Saccharomyces cerevisiae S288C: one gene and its partners. Changing the gene in region 3 together with the main gene of any one other region gives a genetic interaction. Each region holds a gene or a part of one and is shown on either strand. Other genes may lie near its edges.

Region 1 (4,637 bases), on a different chromosome or scaffold from region 3:
AAGCAATCAATAGTGTTTTATTTGCAACAATGTCGTCATAGTTTAATATGTCCTATAAGATGTTAACTTGCTCAACATTCAACAAAGTTTGGTCTCTTGGCCCAGTTGGTTAAGGCACCGTGCTAATAACGCGGGGATCAGCGGTTCGATCCCGCTAGAGACCATTTATTTTTAAATTCGACCGTCTGACAGACGGTGCACTTATTACTTAATTTTTTTTTTTTTTTAATCCTCGTTAAACTGAGTACATAATCAGCAACAATATAATATAAAAGTTTTGCTTTTTTATGTACGTACAATAGGGGTACTTAAATAAATAAATAAACAATAAAACAATCAATAAATAAATAATATACGATCATAAATTACGAGATATATTTCATAGTCTTGACTTCTCCAGCCGAACGTCATTAAATTTAAGGCAGAAAAGATAAACAAGGGTACGGTGTACAGAAGACAAAATAAATAATAACCTTTAAAAGATTATAACAATGTTTTCATTATTTCTTCTCATCGGCCTTAATTTTATTTAAGGCAGAACCATATTTGAACCATTCAATTTGCTCATCGTTGAAAGTATGGGTCAACACAGCATCCCATGGCTTACCATTCTTTGGATGAACTCTCATTGTTACAGGCTTACCTGGAGCCAATTCAGCTAGACCCAGAATATCGATTCTGTCATCAGGGTTGATCTTGTCATAGTCAGCTGGGTTCTTGAAGTTCAATGGCAATAGACCTTGTTTTTTCAAGTTAGTTTCATGGATACGAGCGAAAGACTTTGTGATGATAGCGAAACCGCCCAAGAATCTTGGTTCCAAAGCAGCGTGTTCACGAGAGGAACCTTCACCAAAGTTTTCATCACCAATAACAACCCACTTGATACCTTGGTCTCTGTAATCTCTAGCAGTGTCTGGAACACCTTTGTATTCACCAGTATATACATTTTTAACACAGTTAGCCTTCTTGTTTTCAGCATTAATAGCACCAATCATATAGTTATTAGAAATGTTTTCTAAATGACCTCTGTATTTCAACCATGGACCAGCCATAGAAATATGATCAGTAGTTGTCTTACCGACGGCCTTAATCAAGATTGGCATGTCTTTAGCATCCTTACCATCCCAAGGTTTGAATGGTTTCAACAGTTGTAGACGGTCTGAAGTTGGAGAAACTTTAACTTCAACGGTGCTACGGTCTGCAGGTGGAGCTTGGTAAGTGTTCTCACCAGCATCATAACCTCTTTGAGGCAAACCATCACCATGTGGTGGTTTCAACATGAACTCATTACCATCCTTGTCCTTTAATTTGTCTGTTAGAGGGTTGAATCTCAAATCACCCGCAATGGCGAACGCAGTTACTAATTCTGGAGATGCAACAAAAGCATGAGTTTGTGGGTTACCATCATTTCTAGAAGTGAAATTTCTGTTGTAAGAGGAAACGATAGTATTCTTGTCACCTTTCTTGATATCTCTACGATCCCATTGACCAATACATGGGCCACAGGCGTTTGCCAAAACGATACCACCAAATTCTTTGAAGGTTTCTAATTGGCCATCACGTTCAATAGTGGCTCTGATTTGTTCAGAACCTGGAGTAACAGTGAAAATGGTCTTGGATTTCAAACCATGAGCAGCAGCATCCTTGACAATGGATGCTGAACGAGACATATCTTCATAAGAGGAATTGGTACAAGAACCGATCAAACCGACTCTGACATCCAATGGCCAGTTATTAGCAACAGCAACTTCCTTCATCTTAGAAACTGGAGTAGCCAAATCGGGGGTAAATGGCCCATTGATGTATGGTTCCAGAGTGTTCAAGTCAATTTCGACGACCTCATCGTATTCAGCATCCTTATCAGCAGATAATAGGTCCTTGTGGTATAATTTAGCAAAGTCAGCGATCTTACCACGACCAGTTGCTTCCAAATATTCAATCATAGATTTGTTGAATGGGAAAACAGATGTGGTAGCACCGATTTCAGCACCCATATTACAAATGGTACCCATACCAGTAGCGGAGAAGGTGTCAACACCATCACCGAAATATTCAACAATTTTACCAGTACCACCTTTGACAGTTGTGATACCAGCCAATTTCAAAATAATATCCTTTGGAGAAGTCCAACCGTTCATCTTACCAGTCAACTTAACACCTAAGATCTTTGGAGCCTTCAATTCCCATGGACGACCTGCCATAACATCAACGGCATCAGCACCACCAACACCAATAGCCAATTGACCTAAACCACCAGCATTTGGTGTATGGGAGTCAGTACCAATGATCAAAGCACCTGGGAAAGCGTAGTTTTCCAGAACAATTTGGTGAATGATACCGGAACCTGGCTTCCAGAAACCCATGTTATATTTCGCAGTGGCAGAGGCCAAGAAATCATAAACTTCCTTGTTTAGATCTATAGCTCTCTTCAAATCTTTTTCACCACCAACTTGTGCTTGAATCAAATGGTCACAGTGGACAGTGACTGGCTTAGCAACCTGTGGTAAACCAGCGGACATAAATTGTAAAATAGCCATTTGAGCAGTAGCATCTTGACAGGCAACACGATCTGGTCTTAATTTTAGGTATGAAACACCTCTCTGAATATCTTGACCATGAGGGTCATCCAAGTGACCGTACAAAATCTTTTCCGCGTAGGTAAATGGCCTGTTTAATCTTTTTCTTACGATATCCAGCGTTTCCACATTCTGCTTGTAGTTAATAAAAGAATGATCTTCTAATAAGTTTTGGTTGACTTTTGAATCTCTAGTCAAGTTGGAGACTGTCGCAAGACCACGAACAATGGGTCTCTTGATGGCAGAACGTGCAGACAGCATTGTATATCTATAGTAATAATGGTAGTATTTATTACCTTCGTTCTACTATGTAATAACTAAGAAAGAGTGAACAGAACAAGGGACAACGGAATTAAGCAACATACTCCTCCTAATTAACCTCTAAAACCGGAAGATTATATATATAACAAAAGATTTTCCTTGTCCTCCCTTTTTGTGCTTGCCTTTCCGAAAACCGGCAGCGATTGGAGGTTTGATGGTTAAAGTCGCCTGCGGAGAACAACTGAAGGGTTCAAATTTTTCTCGTATGCACTAATTTCTCTATTGATTGGTCAGGACCTTTGCCGATTTCGGCGCCGAAATGCTCGAAAAACAAAGGGTATTGCCCGGCCCCGCGGACCTCCCTTTTGCGGCTCTCGGCCATTTTTTAGGTAATTTGACACCGTGCCCAAATGGCTTGGCACAATCGAGAATCAGGCACCCGCGTGTGACCGGCGTCATTCATTAAAGCCAGATAAGACAAAGTAAAATACAATGGATTATGATTAATACAATGATATACAAAAAGAGAGAAAATAAACGAAGGCTACGTCTGCGTAATTGACGATGGGAAACTGGTATTTTTATATAAGCATATGTAAAGTGCGAAGTATATCAGTACGGAATGCCATTTGTGAGCCTTTGGAATTCATCATAACCTTTAGTGAATATACTTTCATAACTTTTACGGATTAGCGCCTTCATATATAGTGCAGCTTCGTGATCGGTTTTTTGAGGTTGAAATCTTGCTCTTAGATTCCTAATTGTCTTGTGACCCTTAAAGCAGGGGAGACCGCTTCCTAACATAGGATTTACACACTCAATTATGGCCTCCACGTGCGGACGGGCGGCTAGATATGCCTTGATACAAAGTTCTTCAAAGTCCAGATACGCTGGGGTCTGGGGCGAACCTCCCATCACTTTAACCATTTCTTTCGTCAGCTTGAATGGTACTGCTTCAAACTTGATACCACCTGGGACAATATCAAAAATAAACCCAAAATCGATATGTAGACAATGTCCTTGATCATCGTACATAATGTTACCATTATGTCTATCCTTGAATTGCAACAAATACGAAATTACGCTATATCCCGCTAAGGATTTAACAAAGTTGTTTCGTGCGTTTTGAAATTCGATAGTAGATTCATTACCAAATTTACTAGTGAAATATTCATATAATCCATTAACAGCTTCACGTCCTAACATATCACGGGATACCGAATTGGGTAGCACATCGATGACACCACAACCCGGTGCCGTCGCAGTAACTCTGTAGGGAAAAACGTAGACATCCAAGCCAATACTAGACCAAATGGTTCTAAATAGCGAGATCAATTGTAACGCTAGAACATCTTGCCTACAGTCATCACCGACTTTGAAGATAGCAGCTTGCCATTTTTCAACTTCCTTGTTTTTACCTGTCAAAGGATCTTTTACGTCTTTCTTTATTTTAAAGGTCGCCATAAAAGGCGCCTTTGCGTGAGATTGAAGTGGCTTACCACTCTTCCGATCAATATCAATAACTACACCGTCAGGATTAGAAGGTAAATAAACATCAGGTTTCACCTCAATTTTGCTCATTTCTTCATCGATCTTATGTTTCTTTTCAGCCTTACTTTTTTTTATGTATGGTTTCAACTTACCAGATATGCCAGTTACTTCGTCGAAGAATTCAAATTCACGTTCGTAAAAATCGCGATGAGATTGGCTGAAACTTGAAACCATACGCTCCCTAATACGATCTAGAGTTGGTTTGATTTCATCTTCTTGTATACCTTCATCATCCTTGTAGCAGTTTGC
Region 2 (4,295 bases), on a different chromosome or scaffold from region 3:
TTCTGTCTGCCATGCCACCAATTTGGTAACCGTAATCCCACCACGCTGCAACCTTACTGTCCTCATCAGAGTTCATTCTTAACCAATAGTACGCTTCCCTGAAGTCGTCGATCAACGCCAATTTACCATCTGGGGTTTGTGATGGCAAAACAACAGAAGGAGAAGAGTATGCAGTTCTTGTTACCCAAGTAGAATGGAAGACGAAAAGATACAAATAAAAGATGAATGATCCGGAAACAATCAATTTGGCCAGTAGTGCCGCAGGTTTGATGGCGTATTTGCGGTCACTTGTCTTGAAATCCAGGTAGATGTCAAATATCTTGGACAATGCGACGGCGGCGGACACACAGATGACTGGTGTCAAAGTCAACATCAATCTAACCATAACACCGGCAAAGTACGAACACAGAACGGAGTAAGCGATGACAAAAACGTGCTCGTCTTTCAAGTCGAGGAATAGTAGGAATACACCGGCGGGGAATAGCCAGATCAAAAAGTGGGTATCAAAGAAGAAAGCGGGCCACGAAACGGGTTGATGTTCGGAAACGGAGGCAATGATAGGAATGTGGATCTTTGCGTAGTTGGTATCCCATAACGAATAAAATCTACCAGTCCAAGGGGCAATCAACCCCATATAGGTCAAGGCAGAAAGTCCGACCACACCAAGGACCAAGATCAAAAACAGAGAAACCATCATGATGACTTTAAACTTAGCTGTGCTGATTTGGCCCTTCACGAAGTCACCGAAGGCGACAATCTGAATCAAACCGAAAACACCCAATGCGGCCATGTGGTCGTTAGACCTGATAGGTAGGAAACCGACAAATGGGATCTGCATGGATGCAACAGTTCCAATAGCGTACCAAGTGGTGTAGGCAGAATACAGTTTGGACGAATATCTGCCCATCAAAATCAGCAAAAAGACATGGAGTGGGATCAAGTTGGTGATGAACACGTATCCACCCCAAGCCGACACCATGTAGAAGTAGAATAAAGCTGCACACGTTGCGTGCATGATAGAGCCAGTCTTTTGGGCCTTAATCCAAAACATGAAAGTGACCATTAATAGTGTAATGGCAATGGCCTCATTATCGTAGGACCCCGCCACTGATCTAGATATATAACCGGGGACAATGGCTATAAAACCAGCAGCCAAAAGCCCAGCGCTGGCATCTTTAATCTCTTTCGTAAATTCGTAAGTCGCCCAGGCGGTGACCCCAGAAAATAGTGGCGCAAATAGCACACAAACGTTTCTGATGTCAATGGGCAAGCCCAACCAGTTGCGCAGGGCGTGCCAGATGAACGCACTAGTCGTCATCAAACCAGGATATAAAGTCCCTCCAGTAACCCTTCCGAGGGGGTACCAGGTACGGTCGTCAAACCAGTTCAAAAACTTGTAAAACGAATTGTTGACGAGATATTTGGTAGCCCTATAATTGAACCAGGGGTCGAATTCATGGATAATAGACTCAAATTTGATGACTGCAAACAAACGTGATGATATGGCAGCCCCAAAAATCGCCACGAAGATGACGAGCTTGAGGATGGTCTGAAACACAGACAAAACACACGACCGGTCGGATCCCATGGCAGCTGTGATAATGACGAATGGTAGTTAGGATTTACGGCTGTGAATGCGATTGCGGATGCTATGTCACGTTGAATTAGACCGTGCTTTTGCTGCTTTTCTTTCTTTCAGACTTGCTCTTTTGTTCGTGTCTTATTTTGTCAATTCTCGACCAGCGCGAAAAAGCAACCGTCGATGGTGACCATTTAGCAGAGGCGAAGAGAAGTAAAAGAAAGCTTATGATATGACTATTGAGACCTGGAATAGGTACGAAGCGCCAGTGAGGAGGACTGGGCAGCACAGTTGTAGTGGAGACCAGAATGACTGCGTTGCATAGTGTGTCCAAAACGCCCGCGATCAAGGAAGAGGAGGAGGACGGTGATGAGCGAGACGGCAGAGGAGTTCCCCTGGGACCAAGGAACCATGACTACCGTGGCAGGAAAGGTGATGAGGAAAGCGGTGCTGACACCGTGACATCTCCCATCACGTTTGAAAAGAAGAAGATAGCGCCCAGGGCGTCAACGCATTCCGAACAGAGTATTTTGAGCAGCATCTCATTGAAATCGATGGTAAATCAACATCGTCAGCAGCAGTTGCAGCAAGAGAGCTCAACAGGGGCAGGCACTGGGTTTGTTGACAGAAAGCAGCAGATCCAATCTCCGGCGATGGTGTCCATATTGAGGAAGAACTCTGCTGAGGAGAATGTTCGCAGCAGCCACAGTAGCAAGCTCGGTGAAGGGCAGATAGATGGTAGGAAGGCTTCTGCTAGTAAGGAGATCGGCAAGACGTTGCCATTCACGGATGACCAAAGATCGAACCCTGAACTAGATCCCACCAATAGCGTGGTGGATGTTAGCAGGGGCAAGAATACAAAGAGCAAAACTGTGTTCAATGAGTTAGAAGATGATGCCGATGACGATGACGAGGTTCGACAAAAGAATCTAACCACGCAGGCGTTACGCAAGTTGTCGTCGTTCAAAATGAATGCTAGTTCTAATTTGAGGTTGAGTAAAGAAAACAAGGCGAAAGAGTCTTCATCTTCGTCCACGTCTTCAGTGTCGTCATCGTCGACGTCGAAGGTGGAAAATATTGTCGACAAGCTGACTACAACGAATTCTAGCTCGATGTCCCAACTGCGGTTTGGCAACACGAACGTCATTATTGATTCGGTGAATCATGCGGCGAAACCGCCGCATCAGCAGATGCTAAGGAAACCCTCGCTGGAATTTTTACCGCAGCCTGCTTCGAGCACTAATCTGAATTTTAATTCCAATAAACATAAATCAAATGTAAGACAGATCAGTAACCCTAAAAAACCGCTATACATCCCCGCCGTGCTGAGGAAAGTTTCAGAGACAAACATAACTAATGACGATCTGTTGAATGCAACATTGTCGTCTTACTACAAGAAGGCATCTAACCTGGAACATGGCTTTAATCCAAGCAAGTCGCAATCCGCTAGCGTTCAGAATGCGAACAACCTACGGATCATATCTTCTCAATCCAGCGTACAATCCAACACATCGTCAATCTTGGAAAGCTACAAAAACAAAATATCCTCGTACTTGTTCCCGAATTCTATTCCGAACAGCGACAGAATCAACTTAATACCAACTATTTCAAACAGAAACTCTGCCAGAGTAAACCCGCCCACTAAGGACCACTGGATTCCGGACAGTAAGAGGAATTCTTGTCGTTACTGCCATAAGCCTTTTACCCTGTGGGAAAGGAAACATCATTGCAGGCATTGCGGGGACATCTTTTGTCAAGACCATTTGCGCCATTGGCTGTACCTGGACTCGCAGGCAAATTTTATAATGATCAACGAACTAAACAACGGTGGCATAAATGGCGGTGGCACTCTCTGTAAAATATGCGATGACTGTCTGGTCGAGTACGAGAACCTTTCAACCACGAACCATAACGCAAACACGAACGAGGATAACATAAACGTTGAGGAGGGCGAAGATGACGATAATGACAATAGGAAGAAATTACGCAATTACTACAAGAATAGGCAGATGAACGCTCTTTTCAGACCAAAGAAGGGCGGTTCGTCCCAAGAGCATGCCACGGTTGATCGAGACACAACAACGCCCATCCAGGTGAAGTCGAACGACGAAGAAGCAGATAATGAGAATACGGGGGGAGAACAAGAAGAAGGTAATGATGTTTTGGGCAGTGTTATCGGCTCTGTGCCTGCAAACTGGAATTGGAGTAGTTTCTGATGAACATTTTTTGCGAGACAAGCGAAGAGAGGATGTACACTATTGATGTATGACCATTATGTATACAATAAACTTAATATAATATGATATAATATAATATAATATATAACACTAACACTTTCCTGAGGATTTTCGGTATGGCGCCGAGCGAAATTTTAAAGAGAACAACAGAAACAGTCACCAAGACTTCTTCAATTAGGCAGCGCAAAACGGACACAACAGCAGTAAAGACAACCGGAATGGACTCGATTATACCGGCAGGCGTCAAGCTAGATGATTTACAAGTGATATTGGCTAAGAACGAGAATGAAACCAGGGACAAAGTGTGTAAGCAGATCAACGAAGCACGCGATGAAATTCTGCCGTTGCGATTGCAGTTCAATGAATTCATACAGATAATGGCAAACATAGACCAAGAAGGATCCAAGCAGGCTGACCGTATGGCCAAATACCTACATATCAGAGACAAGATTTTGCAACTGAACGATAGATTCCAGACT
Region 3 (6,735 bases):
AGGAAACGCAAGAACAAACTACATACTGCCACTGAAATGAATTTCACTGCTAATATATCTATCCTTTAGCGAAAAAGACAAGATCAACAGAGGCGCCAGAAAAAGGCAATTATGACTAAAAAAAAAACTGTGTAAACCTGGGGATGGTAGCTGAACTACTTGCAGTCGAAAATGACCGCATATTTTACTGTCATGCTTCTGTCAAGAAAAACGAGCCTTGGATGAGAGCTTTCGTTGATCGCGGCTCGAAGTTCAGGTAGAGAAATATAGCAGAGCTCTTTTCGCGGAGCCGCATGCACGGCTACATTAAAAGGTGTCCTTCCAGCTCAGCGATATGTGTCGGCCGGAAAAAAAAAGCACGCATCCGGCAAGCACACTAGTAAGTCTAATGCAGGATGAAGAAACGAAGAAGGTGCCATGAGAAGGAAAATAAAACTCAATGGGACGGAACGGCAGCATTTTTTAACAAATTATTTTGGATTCATCCGTAACAATATAACTTGGTACGGGAACGGCATGTTTTAAATGCACAGCGGTGCCTTGTTTCGCCGTGGATTGTTAAAGGCTCTTTTTCGGACGCCACATATTCCTATGCTGCACCAGCAATTGGTGTCTTCGGATCATACTACTTCGCACTAGTTTATATTCAAGGCTTTTAATGGAGCTTCGCTCTTAAAAGAAAAAACTTCTTTACTTCCATGCGCGCGTTTTTGGCGTACGTAGCACTGCGAAAGAGTGGGTGATATATAGAGAACATGTTGTAGTATACGTACGCGGGCAATTGTGGTGACAGTATCTCTTTCTGTTAGCAAGTAATATATCCTTGGCCTCAACCTGTCAATAGTGTTAGTTTATCCGCCATCTTGGCGCTATCATACACGATCTTTTTCAATGTTTCTCGTATATACAGGACAGGGTTCGGGGTTTTTGGCGGCAGGAGAGGAAAGCAAAAAAAAATGAGGCAAGAGTTTTAATTTTGCCAGCGAAATGTTCTGCCATTTTCATCTTTACCGCTCGAATTAGTGATGTTCCAGACGAAGGTAACATAGAGTGATCGATAGGTTCTTCAATTCATCAAGCATTATCTCAGAATTGTGTTTGGTAAGCTCTCTTCGAGAAAAGGAAGAACAAAAAAAAAAAAAATAAAGCAAAGAACAGGTTATAACGCTATGGGTAACTTTCCAGCTCCAAAAAACGATTTGATATTGAGAGCCGCAAAGGGTGAAAAAGTCGAGAGACCGCCATGCTGGATAATGCGCCAGGCAGGTCGTTACCTGCCGGAATATCACGAGGTGAAAAACAATCGTGATTTCTTTCAAACTTGCAGGGATGCGGAAATTGCTTCTGAGATTACTATCCAGCCGGTAAGACGCTATAGAGGCCTCATTGATGCTGCTATTATTTTTAGTGATATCTTAGTTATTCCGCAAGCCATGGGTATGAGGGTCGAGATGCTCGAAGGTAAAGGTCCACATTTCCCAGAACCTTTAAGAAATCCGGAAGACCTCCAAACGGTATTAGACTACAAGGTTGATGTTTTGAAAGAGTTAGATTGGGCTTTCAAGGCAATCACCATGACAAGGATCAAGTTGGATGGTGAGGTTCCCTTATTTGGCTTTTGCGGGGGACCTTGGACTCTAATGGTTTATATGACGGAAGGCGGTGGATCCCGTCTTTTCAGATTTGCCAAACAATGGATTAACATGTATCCAGAGCTTTCTCACAAATTATTACAAAAAATCACTGATGTGGCCGTGGAGTTTCTGAGTCAGCAAGTCGTGGCGGGTGCTCAAATACTACAAGTTTTTGAAAGTTGGGGTGGTGAGCTTTCGTCTGTAGATTTTGATGAGTTTTCCCTACCATATTTAAGACAAATTGCCGAAAGAGTGCCTAAAAGATTGCAAGAATTAGGTATCATGGAACAGATTCCTATGATCGTTTTTGCGAAAGGGTCGTGGTATGCTTTGGACAAGCTATGCTGTTCAGGATTTGACGTTGTTTCGTTGGACTGGTCCTGGGACCCAAGAGAAGCGGTAAAAATAAACAAGAACCGTGTCACCTTGCAGGGCAACCTGGATCCTGGCGTCATGTATGGTTCTAAAGAGGTAATAACAAAGAAAGTTAAACAGATGATTGAGGCTTTTGGAGGTGGGAAGTCCCGCTACATTGTTAATTTCGGTCACGGTACCCACCCTTTCATGGATCCAGACGTCATCAAGTTTTTCTTGGAGGAGTGCCACAGAATTGGTTCGAAGTAATGTGGAAATATTGATTCTTATAGTGTTATAAGTGATAATATACGTTTATGTAAATAATATCTTTTTCACAACGTTCAAAAGTGGCCTTTTTTCTTTTTTCGATATTCTGTATATTTATTACGATTTTTTTTTTTTTCAGATATTTATTTTTGCAGGTTCTCTGAATGGATGTAGTGACAAAATCTTAAATAGAAGAAAATAAAAGATGAAGGTATATGAAAATAAATGAGAATGCATATCACCTTTCCTTCGAAGAAAAAGGATTTTCAAAAGATCTGCACGCCTGTTGACAAGCTTCCAATAGCATGAATTCACAAAAGGCGAGTAAAATGACTGGCTCACTAAAAAAGAATGATCTTTATATTTTTGATTTGTCTGAGCAACTTCTGAATTCATTGAAATTGATGAGCTTTGACTCCACACTGCGAGAAGTTGAAGTAGAGAAGACATCTGATAATGATAGAAACAAGGAGTCTGGAGATCTCCAAATAGCAAGAAAGAAGGTCACATCAAATGTTATGCGTTGTAGTGTTTGTCAAATGAGCTTTGATTCCAGAAATGAACAAAAGGCCCACTACCAGACTGATTATCATTTGATGAATGTTAAGCGTAACCTTAGGGGGCTGGATATCCTATCCGTTGAGGAATTCGATGCGCTGATTTCTAAGGAGCATGGTATCAAGTCTGAAGACGAAAATTCTGGCGGCGAGCAAACTTCAAGCGATCACGAAGAAAGTGAGGAAGCCAGCGATCGGGACCCGGACCTACAAACTAATAATTATATGGAAACTATAATCGAAAATGATTTGCAGAAATTAGGGTTCCAAAAAGACGAGTCGGATGCTATTAGCCATATTAATACCCAATCGCCCTACATTTATTTCAAATCGAAGTATCTTCAAAAGAATGAGGTCTTGGCGATTTATAAGTCTCTATTTAATAAAAGGAGTCTTTCCAACCCCAATGAAGCTTTGACTTTTTGGAATTCGCAAGAGAACCCAATGGCCATTTCAGCTCTGTTTATGGTGGGAGGTGGACATTTTGCGGGAGCAATTGTTTCTCATCAAAGACTCAATGTCAAGGGGAACGCGCACAAGAAGGACGAAACCTTAATTGAGCAAGCGGTCAATTTCTTAGAGCACAAGACGTTTCACAGGTATACTACCAGAAGGAAGCAAGGTGGTTCTCAGTCAGCAATGGACAATGCAAAGGGAAAAGCTAACTCTGCCGGTTCAGCACTTCGTAGGTACAATGAAAGCGCTTTAAAAACAGATATACAGGGTGTGTTGAAGGACTGGGAACCTTATCTGTCAAAGTGTGATAATATTTTTATTCGAGCTCGCAATGTCAGTGATAAAAAAATTTTTACTGATAATACCGTTCTGAACAAGGGTGATGAAAGGATAAAGAGCTTCCCTTTTACCACGAACAGGCCCACTGTATTAGAATTGAAGAAGGCATGGTGCGAACTTTCCTACCTGAAAATATTACCTAAGCCTGAACCATTGGCAGTGAAAGAAACAGTACAAAAGTTAGAAGTGTCGAACAAAAAGGACGAATTTAAAGAAAAACAAGAACCGTTACTGGAAGAAATCCAAACAGAAGAAATAATTTCTCTGCTGAAGAAAGGAAGGGCACCGTTATTGATATCCTTCTTAAAAAAGAATAAGCTTGATGGAAACTTTCGGTTAAAGCCTGAGAGTAAATATTCCTTAACCCCTACCATGTTACATTATGCATCGCAGCAAGGGATGAAACAGATGGCACTGATTTTGCTCTCAAATATTAAATGCGATCCAACGATCAAGAACAGACTAGGAAGGACTGCGTGGGATTTGAATAGAAACGACGACGTGAGACACGCGTTTCAAATTGCAAGATACAATCTTGGAGAGTCTTTCACTAATTGGGACGAAACTCATATCGGTCAGCCATTGAGCAGAGAACAAGTTGATGAAATCAATGAAAAGAAAAAAGCAATAGAGAATGAAAAGGCAGAAAAACTGATTAAATTGGAATTAGAAGCCGCCAAGGAAAAACAAAGATTTGCTAAAGATGCAGAGAGGGGTCCAGGCAAAAAGTTAACCAATATTCCTTCAATTCAGCAACAAAATTTGAATTCTTTGACCGATGAACAGAGACGCAGATTGATGAGAGAACAAAGGGCTAGAGCCGCAGAAGAAAGGATGAAAAAGAAATACTGAGGAATATCTCATATTCAAATTTTTAGGATTTTTCTTAGCATTTGCATATATTTTCATAGACACAGTACTTACATTTAATAACAGTAATTGAAAAGCAATATTAAAATATAGAAGCCCAAATTTTATATTTCAAATGAATAAATGTTGTTTTTTTTGGCAATTTTTTGCTCTTCTATATAACAGTTGAAATTTGGATAAGAACATCTTCTCAACGCGAAAATGACGCCTCCAGTGAAAAAACATAAACTTTCAATGCAGTCTTCGGTACACTTATGAGTAACCCATATAGAGATCGTACACATTTTACAAGGATTTAGAGACAAAGTAATATTCTTCGTTGATATAGAGGTGTTCAATTGTTAAATGCTTTTCTTCTTTTTATTAGAAAAAGCGCCTTGCTTTTTGTTGTATCACTTGTAAATCTACCGTCCCTTACAAGAACATTCACGAAATTTAAGTGGCTCAGAATGAAAAAGAAACAATATAAAAAAGCTTTCCGTAGTCATCAATTTATTTTACATAACACTAGATATAAAGAAAAGAAGATAATATTTTTATATAATTATATTAATCTTAGTTTCTAGAGTTGATGATATCAACAAATTCTGGCTTCAAAGAAGCACCACCGACCAAGAAACCATCGACATCAGCCTTGTCCTTGAAGGTAACGGCGTTGCTACCGTTAGCGGAACCACCGTATAAGATTCTCAATTCGCTGGCAGCCTTGTCACCCAACTTGGAAGCCAAGAACTTTCTGATGGAAGCGTGAATATCTTGAGCATCTTCTGGAGTAGCAGCCAAACCGGTACCAATGGCCCAGACTGGTTCGTAAGCGACAACGACGTTAGTCCAGTCCTTAACTTCTTCCAAGACAGCGTTCAATTGTCTTTCAACAACATCCAAAGTCTTACCGGCCTTCTTTTCTTCCAAAGTTTCACCGATACACAAGATGACACCGACACCTTGACCTAAAGCGAACTTGGTCTTGTCAGCAATGAACTTGTCATCTTCGTGGAAGTAAGATCTTCTTTCGGAGTGACCCAAAATAACCCACTTAGCACCAACATCCTTGATTTGGTCAACGGAGTTTTCACCGGTGAAAGCACCAGAAGCCTTCAAGTAGGCGTTTTGAGCACCGACAGTGACTTGTGGCTTCTTAACCAAAGAGACAGAGTAGTCTAAGTAGGTAGCTGGAGGACAGATAACAACTTCGACATTTTCTGGGATAGAAGCAGTGTTCAATCTTTCAACAATTTCCTTAATGGATTGTTTGGAACCGTTTAATTTAAAGTTACCACCGACAAAGAAAGTTCTAGCCATTTTTAGTTTATGTATGTGTTTTTTGTAGTTATAGATTTAAGCAAGAAAAGAATACAAACAAAAAATTGAAAAAGATTGATTTAGAATTAAAAAGAAAAATATTTACGTAAGAAGGGAAAATAGTAAATGTTGCAAGTTCACTAAACTCCTAAATTATGCTGCCCTTTATATTCCCTGTTACAGCAGCCGAGCCAAAGGTATATAGGCTCCTTTGCATTAGCATGCGTAACAAACCACCTGTCAGTTTCAACCGAGGTGGTATCCGAGAGAATTGTGTGATTGCTTTAATTAATTTCGGAGAATCTCACATGCCACTGAAGATTAAAAACTGGATGCCAGAAAAGGGGTGTCCAGGTGTAACATCAATAGAGGAAGCTGAAAAGTCTTAGAACGGGTAATCTTCCACCAACCTGATGGGTTCCTAGATATAATCTCGAAGGGAATAAGTAGGGTGATACCGCAGAAGTGTCTGAATGTATTAAGGTCCTCACAGTTTAAATCCCGCTCACACTAACGTAGGATTATTATAACTCAAAAAAATGGCATTATTCTAAGTAAGTTAAATATCCGTAATCTTTAAACACTATGTAGTTAGGTCTCCCTCACAATCAGTCCATTTGGGTAGCACGGTCCTCAGGACGTATCTATTGATGGATTCGTCCAGTTCCATCACCATTACGCTCCCGTTAGGAACATTGGTAAACGATTCAAACTCTTCGTATGTCCATCTAAACCATTTCATCAGGAATACTCTGGAATAAATACCATGTGTAACTAGGACAACAACATCTCTGGGTCTTCTCTCTTGCCTATCATGGAAGTGCCTGAATAAAGTCTCTTGGAAACTGGCGACTCTGTCATATACATCTGCCGCACTTTCTCCATGAGGGAATCTGAAGAAGAAATGACCATACGTAGATCTCTTCTTCATAACGTCCTGCATGCTATTGATT

Evidence for each region.
Region 1: mutations in VMS1 (region 3) and ACO1 together harm fitness more than expected from each alone (negative genetic interaction), as found in Saccharomyces cerevisiae (2 studies listed by BioGRID).
Region 2: mutations in VMS1 (region 3) and PIB2 together harm fitness more than expected from each alone (negative genetic interaction), as found in Saccharomyces cerevisiae (2 studies listed by BioGRID).

What each region holds. Positions count from the first base shown.
Region 1 is NC_001144.5:734,712-739,348, forward strand, and holds ACO1 (aconitate hydratase ACO1), read right to left. Parts: upstream 2,838-4,637; coding exon 501-2,837; downstream 1-500. Other genes in the region: 1-phosphatidylinositol 4-kinase STT4, read right to left, coding at 3,450-4,637. UniProt on the Saccharomyces cerevisiae protein: Catalyzes the isomerization of citrate to isocitrate via cis-aconitate, a step in the citric acid cycle.
Region 2 is NC_001139.9:449,697-453,991, reverse strand, and holds PIB2 (Pib2p), read left to right. Parts: upstream 1-1,887; coding exon 1,888-3,795; downstream 3,796-4,295. Other genes in the region: dolichyl-diphosphooligosaccharide--protein glycosyltransferase subunit STT3, read right to left, coding at 1-1,588; PGD1 (Pgd1p), read left to right, coding at 4,035-4,295. UniProt on the Saccharomyces cerevisiae protein: Functions as an intracellular glutamine sensor that directly activates the TORC1 signaling pathway, to promote cell growth when glutamine is available. May play a role in repressing NPR1 activity independently of TORC1 signaling.
Region 3 is NC_001136.10:550,691-557,425, forward strand, and holds VMS1 (Vms1p), read left to right. Parts: upstream 1-2,563; coding exon 2,564-4,462; downstream 4,463-6,735. Other genes in the region: uroporphyrinogen decarboxylase HEM12, read left to right, coding at 1,170-2,258; triose-phosphate isomerase TPI1, read right to left, coding at 5,036-5,782; acid phosphatase DET1, read right to left, coding at 6,366-6,735. UniProt on the Saccharomyces cerevisiae protein: Endonuclease that cleaves polypeptidyl-tRNAs downstream of the ribosome-associated quality control (RQC) pathway to release incompletely synthesized polypeptides for degradation.